Linked DNA regions of Macaca mulatta. The main gene of each other region encodes a partner of the protein of the gene in region 2 in a complex. Links are inferred from orthologs where the notes say so. Each region holds a gene or a part of one and is shown on either strand. Other genes may lie near its edges. The genes, in order: ACAP2, RAB35, RUSC2 and DENND1B.

Region 1 (3,934 bases), on a different chromosome or scaffold from region 2:
TTCTACTCTGCAAAAAGCATGAGGGGAGTATAGAAATGAATAGCACAGAAATTAAGAGAAAGGAAGAGTATCATATTAATATTTGTGATTTTTCAGTTAGGTTATTGTTTATATTTCACTTGAGTGTGAAATCATAGTTCATTAGGTATTTGGAAGGAAAACATAATATATATGTGTATAATGTCACAGATTCAGTTTTAACCAGTATTACATTCAGTGACTTTGTTTGAATATATTCAGTATATAATGGTTTGTTTAGTATTAGCCATGCTAAGAGGTTAAGCACAACATCATGACATTTTTATGTATATCAGACAGGAGAAGGAGGCATATATCAAAGCAAAATATGTGGAGAGGAAATTTGTGGATAAATATTCTATATCATTATCACCTCCTGAGCAGCAAAAAAAGTTTGTCTCTAAGAGTTCTGAAGAAAAGAGGCTGAGCATTTCTAAGTTTGGGCCAGGGGACCAAGTCAGAGCATCTGCCCAAAGTTCAGGTATTGCAAACTTTCTTACTGTGTCTATAGCTGTTTTCTTAAGCTCAGATCACTTTTATAATCCCTGAACTAATAGTCATTGTCATATTTTTTAATGTTAAAAACCTGTTCCCTTCTACATATTCTAAGAAAAACTGAATTTCTATGTCTTTAAAATAGTTAACTTTAAACAATGCCATAATATTTCACCTTTCTAGGTAATACGTATATTCTAAGGAATAAAACTGCTTAAAATGCAAGGGGAGATGGGAATTGTAAACCTGACATTCCAAAAGCCCTAAGTATCTGATTAACTACCTGATTTCCTTCCTATTTTTTCCTCCTAAATTTTTTCCCAGTAACGTTTTTTCCTGCCCTTTTCCCTTCTTATGGCCTGCTTTGTGCTTTGCTAACTTGCATGTCCCCAGTGATTGCTGTAAATAGCGACGAGGCCAGGCGGGAGTCTCTGTTTTGTCCTGATGAGCTAGATTCACTCTTCTCCTACTTTGATACTTCTTCAAAACTGCGTAGTAGTAAGTACTACTCTTGTGGAGCATTCCAAGTCTGTGCCAGTGGTCATTGTGCGGTGTGGCCATCTCTGTAGATGTTACCCATTGTCTGAGAATTACACATTCTTACAGTCATATCATAAATTAAGCTCTTTACTACCCCTGACATATTATGGAGTAATGAGATGTGTTACAACTCTGAAAATAAGTTTATTTTCAGGTTTTGTGATTGATTTATATCTTGATAAGCTAAGTGTTGAAAAGGGTTAAAATTATATTAAACGCATTCTACTCGTGGTGCCTGAGTTCATGTTGATGTGTAAGAGCTCATTTTAAAACCTTGTTTGTGGGAGATTGTTTTCTAAATGGCATGAACTTTAATCATTAGTTAATTTTTCTTTAAAACAGTCAAAAGTAATGACAGTGGAATTCAGCAGAGCTCTGATGATGGAAGAGAATCTTTACCCTCCACAGTGTCAGCCAATAGTTTATATGAGCCTGGTGAGTTCTGATGAAACTCAATGTTAATTGGTTTTGTTTGCTGAAAAATGCATGTGGTAAATGTCTATTCTTGATTTTATATATATATATATATTTTTTTTTTTGAGATGGAGTTTTACTGCCCAGACTGGAGTGCAGTGTTGTGATCTTGGCTCACTGCAACCTCTGCCTTCCAGTTTCAAGTGATTCTCCTGCCTCAGCCTCCTGAGTAGCTGGGATTACAGGAACCCACCACCACACCCAGCTAATTTTTGGGTTTTTAGTAGGGACGGGGTTTCACCATGTTGGCCAGGCTGGTCTCAAACTCCTGACCTCGCGATCCACCTGCCTTAGCCCCTCAAAGTGCTGGGATTTGAGCGCCTGGCCCTACTCTTGATGAAATATTTTAAAGGAAGGGGTTAGTTTTTTAGAAGGTAACTAGGGGAGGAGTAATACTCTTAAATGAGAAAGCAGCAATTTCTTCATATTTGGAAATTCTGTCCTAGTTATATATTGTTCATACATTTTTAAAATTTTTATTTATTTATTTATTTTTGAGATGGAGTCTCACTCTGTCACCCAGGATGGGGTGCGGTGGTGTGATCTCTGCTCACTGCAAGCTCCGCCTCCCGGGTTCACGCCATTCGCCTGCTTCAGCCTCCTGAGTAGCTGGGACTACAGATGCCCACCACCATGCCTAATTTTTTTTTTTTTTTTGTATTTTTAATAGAGATGGGGTTTCAATGCGTTAGCCAGGATGGTCTCGATCTCCTGACTTCGTGATCCACCCACCTCGGCCTCCCAAAGTGCTGGGATTACAGGCGTGAGCCACCGCACCTGGCCTACATTTTATTTTTTATTTTGAGTCTCACTCTGTTGTCCAGGCTGGAGTGCAGTGGCACAATATTGGCTCACTGCAACCTCCACCTTCTGGGTTCATGCAGTTCTCCCACTTAGCCTCCTGAGTAGCTGGGTTATAGGTGTATGCCACCGTGCACAGCCAATTTTTGTATTTTTAGTAGAGATGGGGTTTCACCATGTTGGCCAGGCTGGTCTTGAACTCCTGACCTCAAGTAATCCACCTGTCTCAGCCTCCCAAAATGCTGGGATTATAGGCATCAGCCAGCACACCTGACCCATAATTGTACATTCTTCCAAGCCTCATGGTATGTGCTAAAATTGCCTTACCAACTGCCATGGATAATTTTTAATCCACGTGAACTGTGTGTCTTATTATCCTTTATCATTCCTTGTGGCTGTCCTATCAGGAGAATGAGATCGGCAACTCCCTCCCCATTAGATTTCTCTTTTGACTTGTGCTTTATGCCTTTGTTCTCTCTTCCATGATTTCAGTGATTTTGGTCCTGCAGAATACTCAGGGGAGTCAGCACTCCTTAAATTATTTGAAGTGCTTGTAGTGCAAATTGGGATGGAATTGGACCATCCTAGGAATGAAGGGAGGTTTGGTCTAGTAGTAAAAGTTTTTATGGATTCTTGCTGCTTCTTAAGTCCCAACATTTAGGAATATACTCAATTTTAATATAGTACAGAGTAATTAGCCTATCCCTTGGATACTGGCAAGAACAGAAAGGCCTGACGTATCAGTGATTGTCTTTATAGGAGAAGAAGGTGGAATGTTGGGGAATATCTATGTGAAAATCTCCCATAAGCTCATTATGATAGATTAATGGTTTCTTATATCATAGCTTTATTTTTTAAAAATTATGATAAAATGCACATAAAATTTATCTTAACCTTTTTTTTTTTTTTTTGGAGACTGGGTCTCACTCTGTTGCCCAGGCTGGAGTGCAGTGGTGCAGTCTCAGCTCACTGCAAGCTCCGCCTCCCAGGTTCAAGTGATTCTCCTGCCTCAGTCTCCCAGGTGGATGGGATTACAGGTCCCTGCTACTATGCCTGGCTAATTTCTGTATTTTTAGTAAAGACGAGGTTTCACCATGTTGTCCAGGCTAGTTTTGAACTCCTGACCTCAAGTGATCCATCCGCCTCGGCCTCCCAAAGTGCTGGGATTACAGGCATGAGCCACTGTGCCTGGCCCATCTTAACCATTTTTAAGTGTACAGTTTAGTGGCATTAAGTGTATTCACATTAGTGTGCTACCATTACTGCCATTCATCCACAGAACTCTTTTTATCTTGTTAAACTGAAACTATACCTATTAAATATTTTTTTTCTTTTTCTGCCAAGAGCTCATTTTTATTGATGTATTTGTGTTTGCTTTTCAGAAGGAGAAAGGCAAGATTCTTCCGTGTTTCTGGACTCGAAACATCTTAATCCAGGACTTCAGCTTTATAGGGCGTCATATGAAAAAAACCTTCCTAAAATGGCTGAGGCTTTGGCTCATGGCGCAGATGTGAATTGGGCCAATTCCGAGGAAAACAAAGCAACACCACTTATTCAGGCTGTATTAGGGGTATGTGTTTATACAATGACATTTTCAGTAGCAACT
Region 2 (3,934 bases):
ATGCTGTCCCCACCTCCCCAAAAAAACAATTTTTTCCCACAGATGCTGCAAAAGAGCCATTTAATATGCAGGAGCTCATGCCCCGATCAAAACTGTTTGGTGCCTCCCCAGCACACACGAGAGAAAGTCCATGTTCTTGGAAGTGGCACACTGGTCCAAGATCTGGCCTCACCACGTTCTGTCTGCCTTGGGCCCTGGGCTTGAGCTCACGTGACCACCCCCACCCACGGCTGTTTTTGCTACTATCTCCCCTGCCTAGAGCAGTGGTTTTTGGACTGTAGCTCATGACCTATTTGTGTGTTTTGAAGTGAATTTTGAGGGCCCTAAAATTTCTTTGAATTGAAAAGAAAAACCCAGAGTGCCTGTAGGTCTACCATTCTCAGACACAGCTGGTGTGTCCCCACCTAGCCACTCTAAAGGAGCCTGTCCCGCTCCCACCAGTCCCATCCCGTGTTATTTCCTATGTGTCACTATTCACTCTTGGAAATTGTCCCCTTTGTTTGTTTCCTTGCATCCTGTCTCCCTCCTTCACTTGTGTGGAGGGACCTTGTGAACAAGGATGTTCAGGGCTGTGTCCCTGGGACCTAGAATGTGCCAGGCATATGTAATGAGTCAGGAGAGTGGGGGAGCCTGGGGGTGTGTTGTGTGCAGTGTGGGGCTCGGGGCCTGGGAGGATACCGCCTCGGGCCTCGTTAACTGCCCTGTGTGTGCAGGCAGCTACATCACCACGATCGGAGTGGATTTCAAGATCCGGACCGTGGAGATCAATGGAGAGAAGGTGAAGCTGCAGATCTGGGACACAGCGGGGCAGGAGCGCTTCCGCACCATCACCTCCACGTGAGTCCACCTGCTCACTCCCACCCAACCCGCGCCACTGACCTGTGCCCGCCCACTCCCACTCAACCCACATCACTGACCTGTGCCCGCCCCCTCCCACCCAACCCGCGCCACCGACCTGTGCCCGCCCCTCCCACCCAACCCGCGCCACTGACCTGTGCCCGCCCCCTCCCACCCAACCCACGCCACTGACCTGTGCCCGCCCCGTCCCACCCAACCCACATCATTGACCTGTGGACATGGTTGAGCGACTGGTGCCTGCATGGTGGAAATGTCACTGAGGGTCCCTGAGGCTGTCGGGAAGTGAGCCTGTTGTTGGCTGTAGTAGATGGCGTTTGGTTGCACCCTTCCCAGTCCTGAAGGTGTGAGGGGAATGCTGTAGGGGGAGTCGCTGAGCACCCTGGCTGGAGTCTGGCCGGATGGCCGGACAGTGGCCATGTTCAGCCTCCTTGGAGAGTCAGCCGACCCTCCAGCCCACTGCGCCGTCACCTTACAGAGGGAGCAGAATAGCGTTTGCCTTACTAGGGGGTTGCAGAGTGCCCTGCCCGCCCAGGACTTAGTCACTGACAATTCCTCTTGGTAGGTGTCAGTTATGGCAGCTGGAGTTGGCCTGTGCAGGCTCCCGTCACCCACCCTGATGCCTTGGAGGTGACGCTGTCCAGAGACCTGTTGGTGCATGTCAGCAGGCCCTTCCCTCCCCTTAAAGCTGTTCCTGGGAAATCCGGCCGCCCACCAGTTGCCCGCCGTTGTGGCTAAGCTGCAGGCCGGGGGAAGCTGGGCTCCAGCGCAGATGGACAGTGTCCTTCGGAGCAGCTCCTGGTTATTGCGTTGTTAATGGAGCAGGTTTTAGGGAAGAGCGGGGTCTGAAGGGACCGATTTGGAGCTGTTGGACTGTGTGTCCTTAGGCAAGTTGCCGAAGCTCTCTGCGCTCGTTTCCTGGAGGGACTGCCTCTGGGATTGGCTTCCATGTGGAGGGTGCTGGGTGCTCTGCCGCAGCCGTCAACGTGCGTGGCCGGGGTTTGGTGTCTGCAGCTCCGTGTGCTCGGTGCTGCTGTCATCCCATTTGACAGAGGGTGCCCTGGAGGGGTCCCTCCCATCGGCCGAGCCTGTGCTCCACACAGTAGCCTGTGAAGAGTGAGGGGCGCTGTCTGGCTCCACAGACACCTCCTCGGCTCTCTCTGGAAGTGACCTCAGGAAGGCGAATGAGGAAGTCCCGGCCAGCGGTCCCCTCCCTCCCCACAGCATGAAAGCTGGGTACTCCCCAGGCTGGCTGCCCACCCCGGACCCCTCGGCATCTCCCAAGGGCGGGAAGTGTGGGGTGCAGCGCCCCCATGGGTGGCTGGGAGTGTGGGGGAGAGCAGGGCTGCTGGAGGAGGGACAGGTGCACTGGGCGAGCAGCTCCTGGGGCTGGAGTCGAGGCAGAGGGCTTGTCACTGGGTTCACCCTATGCTGAGCGCATTTGTGCTGCGGCCTGTGATGCCCCGAATCCCTGGGAGCTCCCAGTCCTGGGGTCGCCCGGGTGTGGTGCTGTGTGGTGACTGTTGATGAGTCCCGTGAGCGAGGGCTCTGTGGCCTGCATGTCTTGGCAGCTGCCAGTGAGAACCTGCGGAGGACGCTGGGGCAGGGCTGGCATCAGTGCTTTGGGCAGCGCAGCCCAGGCGAGACAAGCCCTCATGCTCTGGCCAGGGCTGGTCTGGGTGCTGACCTCTCGCGTCCTTGCTCTGGGTTGGGCCTGTCGCTAGGATTTCAGCTGCTTTATTTCGGTTAATCCCGGTAGAGAGACCTGTGACTATCTCCATTTTATGGACAGGAAAACAGGCCCAGGGAGGAAGAAGCCTCCTAACTCGGGGGGCGGGGGTTGGGGGCACTCAGGATTGGCCCTGAGGCTGCCGAGGCCCTGCACCAGCTGGTCAGGTGGTACCCCTGCTTTCCCGCCCCATCCTGTGCCTTCAAACCAGGTGGAGGTCAGGGCAGCAGAGGTTTGGAGGCCCGTGGCCATGAGGAATGAACCCTTTGGGCAGGGCTGTGGGGCCTGGGGGGGTCTGAGGCTCTTTCAGCAGGAGGAGCCACAGCCCCTCCCTGTCACCATGCAGTCAGCTGCTTTCCAGGCTGGGCAGGGCGCGAAGAGGGTGAACTGGTTCCTCCATCTGTGGGGAGGTGGGGAGGAGTCACTCGGCTTCTTGGGAGCATCATGGGTTTTCCCAGGGGGCTTGGGAAGGGGCAGCCTGTGGGCAGCTGCTGGGCCCCAGATGGAGTCCCACCTGTCTGGGGAAGCAGAGAGGTAGCTCCATCTTGGAGTCCCACTCTGGCCCTCATGAGGCAGGAGGCCCAGCAGGGCGCACTGAGGGGCCCCTGGAAGTCTCGACGCCCTTTGATGGTCACTGGCAAAGAAGGAAGGAGTTTTGGTGAGATGAGGAGTTTTCAGGAATGGGGCAGTCAGGATGTAGTAGCGTGACTTTTTCCGACGCAGGGCATTCAAAGAGAAACCGAAACCGCATCCTGTTAGCCTGGTGAGAAAGAGCCCTGTGGTCACCCCCTCTCGAGTTCTTGCTCTCAGAAGCTGAGGTTTGCCAGCCCTGAGAGGTGCGGGTGGGGTGGAGGTGAGGGGAGAAGTGACAAGGAAGGCAAGGCCCTGGCATTGGGCCTGGGAGTCAGCCCTGAGCGCCAGGACTTCCAGCTGGCCGCCGCACTCAGCCTCACGTCCTCGCTGGTCACATGGCCAACCTGAGGTCTGCTGGATCAGGTGGCTGCAGAGATTAATAAGGTCATGGATCCCAAGCCCCCAGCTCTGTGCCTGGCCTAGAGCAGAGTCCCCATGAGTGAAGGCGATTCCTGGTGGCCATGGGAAGCCTCGGTGCTCTGGTTCCTCCTAGCCAGAGCTCTGAGCCCCTGACTTCATCCCCAGACACATTTTCTGCTCTTACATAAAGCCCCTGTCCTGGGCCCCAGATGAGGCGGAGGCGCCCAGGGAGCCGCGGGGGCTCTGTGCCGGGGCCATGGTTGTAGGCGTTTCTTGGCATCTCTGATCATCTTCAGCAAAGGAGAGTCTGCAGAGCCATCCACTCCTTGGGCTTCCTCTGCTGGCAGGGGACAGTCG
Region 3 (3,560 bases), on a different chromosome or scaffold from region 2:
GGCCTGAGCCACCGTGCCTGGCCCAAGGTTTTAACTCAAGCAGAGGCTGGGGAAGGCCTTGGGTGGAAGCCTGAGGCTCTGAGGATGAACGCTTGTGTCGTCCCCCTCCCCACCTCCAGCAATGAAAAGAGCTCTTCCTTCCTCTTTTGTGCCTCTGAATTCTGACCCATTGAGTTTGACCTGCAGGGTTCTGGGCATTACCTTCATGGTTATAGAGGTGATTAAACCAGAACTCCAGGGACCGGATGCTGTAGGGAGACAGGTGAAGACAGTTGAGTCTTGTGTGAATACAGCCAGATAAGGAGACAGATCCAGGGGGCCAGGCACAGGAAGAATAGGTGAACGCACCCTTCCATGGCACGATTCATTTCACCTAATTCCAGAGAGTCAGTGGGGATGTGTGGAGGGAGATGGACATGTGATTTACAAGCCAATTGCTTCCCCCTGGAGTGAAGTCAGCCTGCAGTAGACCTAAGAAATCAAGGTGGCTACTGTGTGAAAGTACAGGCAGCTCAGGGCCAAAGGAGATGGCCTGGGCCCATACCTGAGAAAGCATGTTACTAGGATGTGGGTCCCAAGGTGGACTTAGGGTCAAGCAGGATTTGGAAGTGGTGCTGGAATGGAGAGGATCAGGGTTTACAAGGTCCAGAGAAATTAAGAAACCCAACTAATTTCCGAATAAGTCAGATTACAGATTTGTAAAAGCAGCCCACGCTGGTGACCAGTGTCAGAGTCATGGGCACAGTGGGAAGGCAGTGACTTACTGAGAGGTCATAGCAGACTGGGAGGACCCTCCAGATCCACCCTTTCTGTCTGTCCAGGGAGTTGGTTCCTTGGCACAGGCAGAGCCCGGGGGTCGGGGGCAGAGCAAGTTGTTTAGGGGATCTTGCCGCTCTGTGCACTCACTTGAGCAGGCCGAGGATGAAGGCGTTGAAGCGCATGGTATGACTGGTGAGCTCTGGGAATTGGCTGACTTTGTTGTAGAGGCCATGCAGGACCTTGGTGGATGGGCCTGGGAGGAAGCCAGGGTTGCAGGTCACATGACCAATTTCTGGAACCCTAAATTCAGCCCCGGGTCCCCGTCTTGGCACCCAGCACCTACCTAGCTGTGTGGAAGCCTCAACCACACTCCATGGCATGTTCTTACGCTGCCCGATGATGACGTCCAGTACAAAGGCCTTGAGCCCATCCTCCAGCACAGCGCGGACAGCAGGGCACAAGTACTTCAGAACCAGGTGGCCCACATTGGGGCTCACAGAACTGTTTCCCAGCTTTGCCTGTAGGTGTGGTAGGGAAGTGCAGTAAACTGCCTCAGGCCTGACCGTGGTCCTCTCATGGCAGGCCCTCATGGTTCCCCTCTTGCCATCCCCATTCCTAAGTACCCAACCCTGGGCTCTAAATGCAAGACAGCAAGGGAAGGTGGTAGCGCAGGACAGGTAAGGGCGTGCAGGCAGAGCTCAGCTCTTCACATTTCCTCGCCTACCTTCACCCCGGGATCCCGGCTTGTGCCAAAATGGGCCACAATGAGGTCCACAGCGGTGTTAACAGCTTTTACCAGCCCTGCAAGGAAGAATGTGATGTGACAGGTCCCTGAGCAAGTCCTTAGCCAACTCAGCTGGGGCTGAAACTTCAGCGGGGGTGGGAAAGGGCTCCCACACTTACTCAGTCTCCACACCTGCATGTGGGTCTCATCAGAACATTCAGGCCTGGCCCTTTTCTGGTTCTACCCAGTTCTTAAGCTCTTCCTGTCTACTTCCCAGCCTGGAGCCACCTCAATGATGCCATTGTCAAGCCTCCCAATGTCCTCACCTCTCAGTCCTCTTATTCCAATCCTGGCTCAGGCCAACTATCAGTTTTCTCCACTCTGAGAAACCAGGCCACTGACCTGAAGAAAACCCAAGTCCCTCACACCAGTGCCAGACAAGGGCGATTCTTTGATACGTGCTTTGTCAGCACTCCCTGCCATACCCTCAAGTTGCCATGTGAAATCGACACCACTCCTCTCAAGCCCTTGGTTCTGCTTCAGAGAACAGGGGCCCCTAGTTATAAACTCTTTTAACTTCCCTCTGCCTCCAAAATTCGTAACAATCTCATATGTACACCCCTCACTCCCCTGCCCACTTGCATCCCCTTCATGTCCTGGAGGAAGGTGGCTGTTTCCCTTCTTGCCCGGGTTCTTTCTCCCTGAGCTCTGATTCTCCCCTTCTGCCTTTGCAGGGAACTTAAGCTCTCTTCACAGGCTCATCTTCAGCCCACAATTATGCTCAGTTCTCTCCATCTCCCTAAAAATGTTCTTAGAGTGGGTCTTGTCAGTCTTCATCTTACTAGATGTCACCAACACGCTTACCCAAGCTGCCAGGCCCTCTAGTACCTTCACCTGCCCCTCCAAGAGCACTGAGGCATTTTTTGATGACATGGAAGCCTCCTCATGAGACTTTGCTCACTGCAGGAAGGGACTGGAGCCCGACTCCGAAAGCGTCTGATGAATGACCCTTGCTCAGTCATATGCACTCATGATATACAGCTTTCTCCTCCGACCCTAGAGCCTGGAGATTTGTTTGTTTGTTTTTTTTTGAAATGGAGTTTTCACTTCTGTTGCCCAGGCTGGAGTACAATGGTGTGATCTCAGCTCACTGCAACCTCCACCTCCTGGGTTCAAATGATTCTCCTGCCTCAGCCTCCCGAGTAGCTGGGATTACAGGCACCCACCACCACGCCCAGCAAATTTTTTTTGTATTTTTAGTAGAGATGGGGTTTCACCATGTTGGCCAGGCTGGTCTCGAACTCCTGACCTCATGATCCACCTGCCTTGGCCTCCCAAAGTGCTGTGATTACAGGCTTGAGCCACCGGGCCCAGCCAGCACGTAGAGATTTAAGACTGGCTAGGTAGTAGGGCAAGTGTGAGGAGGTAGTGACAGCAGAGTCCCTGGCCTGAGCTGGGGGTTATATGCACCTTTTTTCTGAAGCAGGTCAATGGAAATGGCCTCTGAGCTGCCATCTGGGGACAGACAAAACTCAGCTGGAGGCTTCTCCGTCAAGGAAAAGGGGTCCTGGAAGTCAGGGCAGGTCAGTGGAAACGGCTTCAATGCTTGGCCTGGAAAGAAGAGAAAAGTCAATCCTGAGCAACTCTCGGTGCAGGAGTTCCAGCCCAGTTCAGTGCCTTGTACTGTCTGAGACATGTTCCTTTGGGACTGACCCCTTCTCTAGCCCTTCCCAGCCATGGCAGAGCCTGCCCCGGGTGTACTGGGGACCCTGCTCACACACCATTCAGCCGGCAGTTCAGATGGCTGGCAGCACTGAGGGAGCCAGGGAACTCAAAGATAGGGTTTCTTCGGGCCAGCCGAGCTTCTTGTGATCTTCGGTCTAGGATCCCTGACAAACCGGGTGGCCCTAGTGGGTTCTTCCTCCTGTATTCCCGCCACTTAAGGGCTTGAGGGGATAGGTGGTTGGCTGGAAGCAGACAGATCAGCAGAAAGACAAGAGTTGGCAGGAGACAGTGAGACAGTTTGACACCCACCCAGCGGCCCGCATGAAACACTAGGTTATTATCTACAGATGCT
Region 4 (4,519 bases), on a different chromosome or scaffold from region 2:
AAGGCTTGTTTTTCTGGTATGTCCATGAAGTCTTTGTGTATGAAGTGATATAGTGACTCAAATGTTAAAGTTTTCTTTTTTTTTTTCCACAAACTGGGAGTAGTTAAGCCTGCTGGTTTGCTGGAGTAAGTTGTTTCTAGTAGGCCACTTGATTTAAAACCATCCTACTAATTCTAATATTAAGCCTCTCCTCATGAATTCTTGCATAAATTATGTGATAATTAATGCCTGCTTATTTAAAGAGGAAGTACAACATGTTTGTATTAAAAATCAGATAGGTATATAAATGGGTTGTGTAATAATCAATGGCTGTACCTACATCATCACAGAATCCGAATTAGCAGCACCTATTTGGTGGTTTTATTAAGTAACCATAGGGAGAACACAGTATAATTATTATGCACAGTATACATGCTAATGTTATATGTTCCTGATCCATAACTCAGTCCAAGAGGGAAGTGAAGGGAAGGCCCAGGAAACAGCTGTGCAGCAGGCAGAACGAAGTCACTATACACCGATGCAGGAATTTTAGTAAGTCACATGCCTATGGTCAGGCATACGGACAGGAACATGGGTCCAAAATCCTCCTTCCCATTCCAGCCAAGTCCAGTTGTCTTGATTGGCAATCTCAAGAAGAAAGGAAGAAACTACTGGAATTGTGCACCGTGAATGAAGAAAGTCAGGTGAGACTGCATCCTTTTTACAAGGAAACATGTAAGTTCTCACCAAACTAAGAAGACCTTGATCAGTTTCACAGCACTACAATTCTGCTGTTCCTTCTTTCCCACAGAAGATTACAAAATGGTCTGATAAGACCATTTTTGGGCAAGTCTTACTTGCCTAAGACTTGGGTCTGTGACATCAAAAACAACAGCAGAGAGAAAGATGATGTCCAAACTTTTGAAGCCCAGAAGAACTCTCAGTCCTTGTTCATTTTTATCTTGTTATAATTTGCAATAGTAAGAGACTGGGAGTTTGTCATCTGTTTTGGAGTTTCAAATCTCTGTTTATGATTCATAGGAACTTCTGCTGTGGAATTATACCGTTTGACCTGGTATTTGACTGAGTTCTATTTGCTGGAATGTTGCATTTTTTCCCTTCTAGAATCGATCATATACAAATGCATGTAATGTTTGCCTAGTTATTTTCTCATATTTTAGGAAAGCAGTACTTGGCACATAGCAATTTGTTTTGATAATCTCTCTATTTACATTAGTACTAAGGTTGCTTATAGGGGCTGCTGATTCTGTTGAACTATTATCATCATGTTAGATGATCATTTATGTTTCCTTCCAGTAAATTCTAATAACATTGCTCATTGGATGTGATTACTCATTCTCCTGAGAGTATTAAATGGGTGTGAGCAGAGCCGCCATACAAGGAAGACTGTATTCATGTGGAGTATCTTGTAGGTGGGGTTGGGAAATTCTTTCCCATGCAATGCCTCAGGGTTACACAAACACAGCACTCTTTCTTGAAGTCCAAATGAGAATCCTTAAAGAATCTCTGAAGAAAATTTGACTCCACTGATTACCATCTGTTGGTGACACTCTGCTTCAATTATTCTTTGTTCTGAACTCCAAGGACTATTTTAAGCTCTACAATGTCTGGCAGATTGAGGAACAAAGATAAGGGAGGACATGCAGAAGCTGGTCAGAGGTAAGAAAATTTATTTACGATTTTTGGCAAATCACCTGAAAAAGGCAGAAGAAGATCTTTTGCTGTGCTGTATTATTTCTGATAACTTTACTATATTTTCTTACTAAAAGTTTAACAGCAAAATAAACAAATATCATCATTTACCCCTTGAATGTTAGAGATATTTGGATATGTTCAGATTTCGTAGTAAAGATGTCAAAATTTATCTGAGTTCTTTTGTCCACAAACTGGAAGACAACCGTTTTTATTAAATTTGATTTTAAATCAACATAGAATGCTAACTCTATAAGCTTTGAGGTGTGAAACAACTCAGAAAGGCATACTTTCAGGGAAGATATTGCTCCCAAATCCTTACCTCCATCTCTCTTTATTTTAAAAGTATTTCACATGTCTTGTTGAGGGAGATTTACCTTCAGATTCAAATTCATGATATTGCTGCTAAGTATAAAAAGGACAACATGCCAGGAGAATGTTTTCCTTAGCAACACTATCTCAGTCAATATTAAAAGGCAGGTCCTGATAAAATAATTTAAAGATAGTTTCCTAAGAGTGTCAATAAATTTGATTTGTTAAATACTTCATAACTTTTCTTCTATAATAAATGAAGGTGGTGATACTATTCATAAATTTCACCTAAGAATACTAATCAGAGGTTGTGTAGAGTTACAATCTAGGAAATACCTGACTTGGATACATGTTGGCTACAACTTATGAGATGCTTGCCTCAAAAAATTCATTTCTAAGTTAATTGTTTAGAACTCAAAATCTTAATATATATTGGTGAGGCTTATGAGTCTAGTAAAGTTATATTGAACCTGAAGCATTATTAATAGTATTATTTTTAAAAATACCATTCTAGAGTTTATAATAGTGTTTATTATTTCATATTCAGAAGGGAAAGGAGCTGTCAACTTTAGTAGTCCTGGGTATTAGTAACTCTTCACTTCTGTCTAAGGCATATTACTACACGGATTCAATGAATAAGTGGTTGGGGTTGGGAAGCCAGGGGTTACCTTTCCAGTTGTCATAGTATACTGGAAATCAGGGCAGTTGGCTTACTAAAAGCCCTGAACTTGGGTTTCTCTACACCGTTAATATATAAGGATATATAAGTTGGGGACTTTTTGGACATGGTTTGAGGAAGGTGGACATTATTAGGTGGATAAAAAGTTGCAATTAGTCCATTTTACATGACACTATAGTCAGAACTAAGTAATCATTCATTATAGTCTGATCAAAACTTTCATGAAAATCAACTAAAAATTCAGAATTAAGTATTTTAAAAAGTTTACAATGCATTAAAGAGCAAGCAATCAAGTGGAAATATTTAGGGGTGGAGGATGGGGGACAAATAAAAGTAGCCACGAGTGCCACCTTTCCCTGTAATCCCAGCACTTTGGGAGGCCGATGGGGGTGGAACATGAGGTCAAGAGATGGAGACCATCCTGGCCAACATGGTGAAATCCTGTCTCTACTAAAAATAGAAAAATGAGCTAAGCGTGGTGGCAGGTGCCTGTAGTCCCAGCTACTCAGGAGGCTGAGGCAGAAGAATTGCTTGAACCCAGGAGGTGGAGGTTGCAGTGAGCCGAGATCACACCACTGTACTCCAGCCTGGCCACAGAGTGAGACTCCGTCTCAAAAAAAAAAAAAAAAGCCACCTTTCATCTTCCTCTTTAGGGTTTTTCCTAAGCTGGATGAACTGGAAGACCATGAACTGTTATCATGGTGTTACGTGGCTTCAGACCCTTCCTAATGTAGGAAATCCAATAGGATACTCTTCATAAAGCCAATACCCCAAAGGTATTCAAGGACAATTGTCTCAAACAATGGAGCAGAGTTAAGGGTAAAAAAGCTTCCCAGAGGATTCATAGCTACAAACCAGGTCTGACATGAATGATCTGAAGAATTTCAACCTGAGAATTTAGTATTTATGGTTCTGAATTGCTAGTGATCCCAGGCATCTACCAGCAGTAAATTAGTATCTTCTCCAGAGAACTCATTTTCATTTCAGCTGTCACTCAATTTCTATATATAAAGTTCTAAGGATCACATAACATAAAAAGAAATCACATACATAGAAGAAATCAAGGGACCATAAGTAAGAACAAGTAGAAAAAAGATCAGATAGTAGAAGCAGACTCACAAATGCTTCAGATATTGGAATATTTAGAAATAGAATTTTAACTATATATATTAAATGTTTTTAATAAATTAAAGAGAGGCTGAAAAAATGAGTTAAGAGAATACAGATTTGGAAAATAACCAAACAGAACTTTAGAAATAAAAATAACATAAATTAGAAACTAAATGGATGACTTTGACAGAAAATGAGACAAAGCTGAAGAAAGAACTAGTGAACAGAATATTTTTGAAATTTACCAGAATACAGCCTCGAGAGATAAAAGAGAGACATACTATAAAAGAGATGTTTGACAAACATGGAGGGTAGAAAAATACATGTGTTATCAGAGTCCCAGAAGGAATGGAAAGAAAGGAATCCAGAATTTTCCAGAACTGATGAAAGTCACCAATCTAGAGTCAAGAAAATTAAAGAAACCAAGAAAGATGGATGAATAAAAATCTACAACTAGATACTTCACAGTGAAACTATACAAAACTAAAGACAAAAAAGAAAAATCATATATGCAGTCAGAGAGAAAAAACAGATGACATTTTAAGATTACTTTCAAAGTTCCAATTGTTACTAGGGAACTTAGAAGATAGTGTAATGATATTGATAATATGCAGAAAGAAATAACAGTAAACTTTGAATTCATCATTGAAAATATTTTTCAAGAATGAGGGATAAATAAATGCATTCCAACTCAAAAAAAAAAAAAAGAAAGAAAAAAAAAGGGAA

What was found.
Region 1: the proteins of RAB35 (region 2) and ACAP2 are in contact, whole or in part, in a crystal structure (PDB 6IF3), measured with the Homo sapiens proteins. The link is inferred for Macaca mulatta from reciprocal best matches to the Homo sapiens genes RAB35 and ACAP2. Residues at the interface, in NP_006852.1 of Homo sapiens: Arg3, Asp4, Tyr5, Leu8, Ile41, Gly42, Val43, Asp44, Phe45, Ile47, Lys58, Gln60, Trp62, Phe70, Arg71, Thr72, Ile73, Thr76, Arg79; in NP_036419.3 of Homo sapiens: Val715, Ala718, Asn719, Ala720, Asp721, Val723, Thr724, Arg727, Leu728, Arg730, Met731, Glu734, Met735, Ser738, Glu748, Thr749, Gln751, Arg755, Asp756, Gln759, Met760.
Region 3: the proteins of RAB35 (region 2) and RUSC2 are in contact, whole or in part, in a crystal structure (PDB 6IF2), measured with the Homo sapiens proteins. The link is inferred for Macaca mulatta from reciprocal best matches to the Homo sapiens genes RAB35 and RUSC2. Residues at the interface, in NP_006852.1 of Homo sapiens: Asp4, Tyr5, Leu8, Phe9, Lys10, Ser22, Leu26, Asp30, Ile38, Thr40, Val43, Asp44, Phe45, Lys46, Ile47, Lys58, Gln60, Trp62, Thr76, Arg79, Gly80, His82; in NP_001129471.2 of Homo sapiens: Val997, Lys998, Asn1001, Asp1005, Val1008, Thr1013, Arg1015, Lys1020, Glu1119, Glu1155, Leu1158, Leu1159, Gln1161, Pro1162, Leu1165, Leu1166.
Region 4: the proteins of RAB35 (region 2) and DENND1B are in contact, whole or in part, in a crystal structure (PDB 3TW8), measured with the Homo sapiens proteins. The link is inferred for Macaca mulatta from reciprocal best matches to the Homo sapiens genes RAB35 and DENND1B. Residues at the interface, in NP_006852.1 of Homo sapiens: Lys10, Leu12, Ser17, Ser36, Tyr37, Ile38, Thr39, Thr40, Ile41, Gly42, Val43, Asp44, Phe45, Gln60, Trp62, Thr64, Ala65, Gly66, Arg69, Phe70, Arg71, Thr72, Ile73, Thr74, Ser75, Thr76, Tyr77, Arg79, Gly80, Thr81; in NP_001182144.1 of Homo sapiens: Met1, Arg4, Glu43, Ser47, Phe51, Val72, Leu73, Thr74, Asp75, Ile76, Glu77, Ser78, His211, Glu212, Arg213, Arg214, Gln242, His243, Ile244, Ile246, Leu249, His252, Leu253, Asp255, Tyr256, Cys258, Ala259, Pro260, Met261, Pro262.

What each region holds. Positions count from the first base shown.
Region 1 is NC_133407.1:3,461,937-3,465,870, forward strand, and holds part of ACAP2 (arf-GAP with coiled-coil, ANK repeat and PH domain-containing protein 2), read left to right. Parts: intron 1-314; coding exon 315-499; intron 500-1,395; coding exon 1,396-1,488; intron 1,489-3,710; coding exon 3,711-3,898; intron 3,899-3,934. UniProt on the Homo sapiens protein: GTPase-activating protein (GAP) for ADP ribosylation factor 6 (ARF6). Doesn't show GAP activity for RAB35.
Region 2 is NC_133416.1:127,394,829-127,398,762, reverse strand, and holds part of RAB35 (ras-related protein Rab-35), read left to right. Parts: intron 1-713; coding exon 714-837; intron 838-3,934. UniProt on the Homo sapiens protein: The small GTPases Rab are key regulators of intracellular membrane trafficking, from the formation of transport vesicles to their fusion with membranes.
Region 3 is NC_133420.1:64,147,022-64,150,581, forward strand, and holds part of RUSC2 (AP-4 complex accessory subunit RUSC2), read right to left. Parts: intron 3,451-3,560; coding exon 3,265-3,450; intron 3,095-3,264; coding exon 2,954-3,094; intron 1,561-2,953; coding exon 1,484-1,560; intron 1,278-1,483; coding exon 1,103-1,277; intron 1,013-1,102; coding exon 907-1,012; intron 249-906; coding exon 202-248; intron 1-201. UniProt on the Homo sapiens protein: Associates with the adapter-like complex 4 (AP-4) and may therefore play a role in vesicular trafficking of proteins at the trans-Golgi network.
Region 4 is NC_133406.1:55,404,864-55,409,382, reverse strand, and holds the start of DENND1B (DENN domain-containing protein 1B), read left to right. Parts: upstream 1-1,467; 5' UTR 1,468-1,603; coding exon 1,604-1,659; intron 1,660-4,519. UniProt on the Homo sapiens protein: Guanine nucleotide exchange factor (GEF) for RAB35 that acts as a regulator of T-cell receptor (TCR) internalization in TH2 cells. Acts by promoting the exchange of GDP to GTP, converting inactive GDP-bound RAB35 into its active GTP-bound form.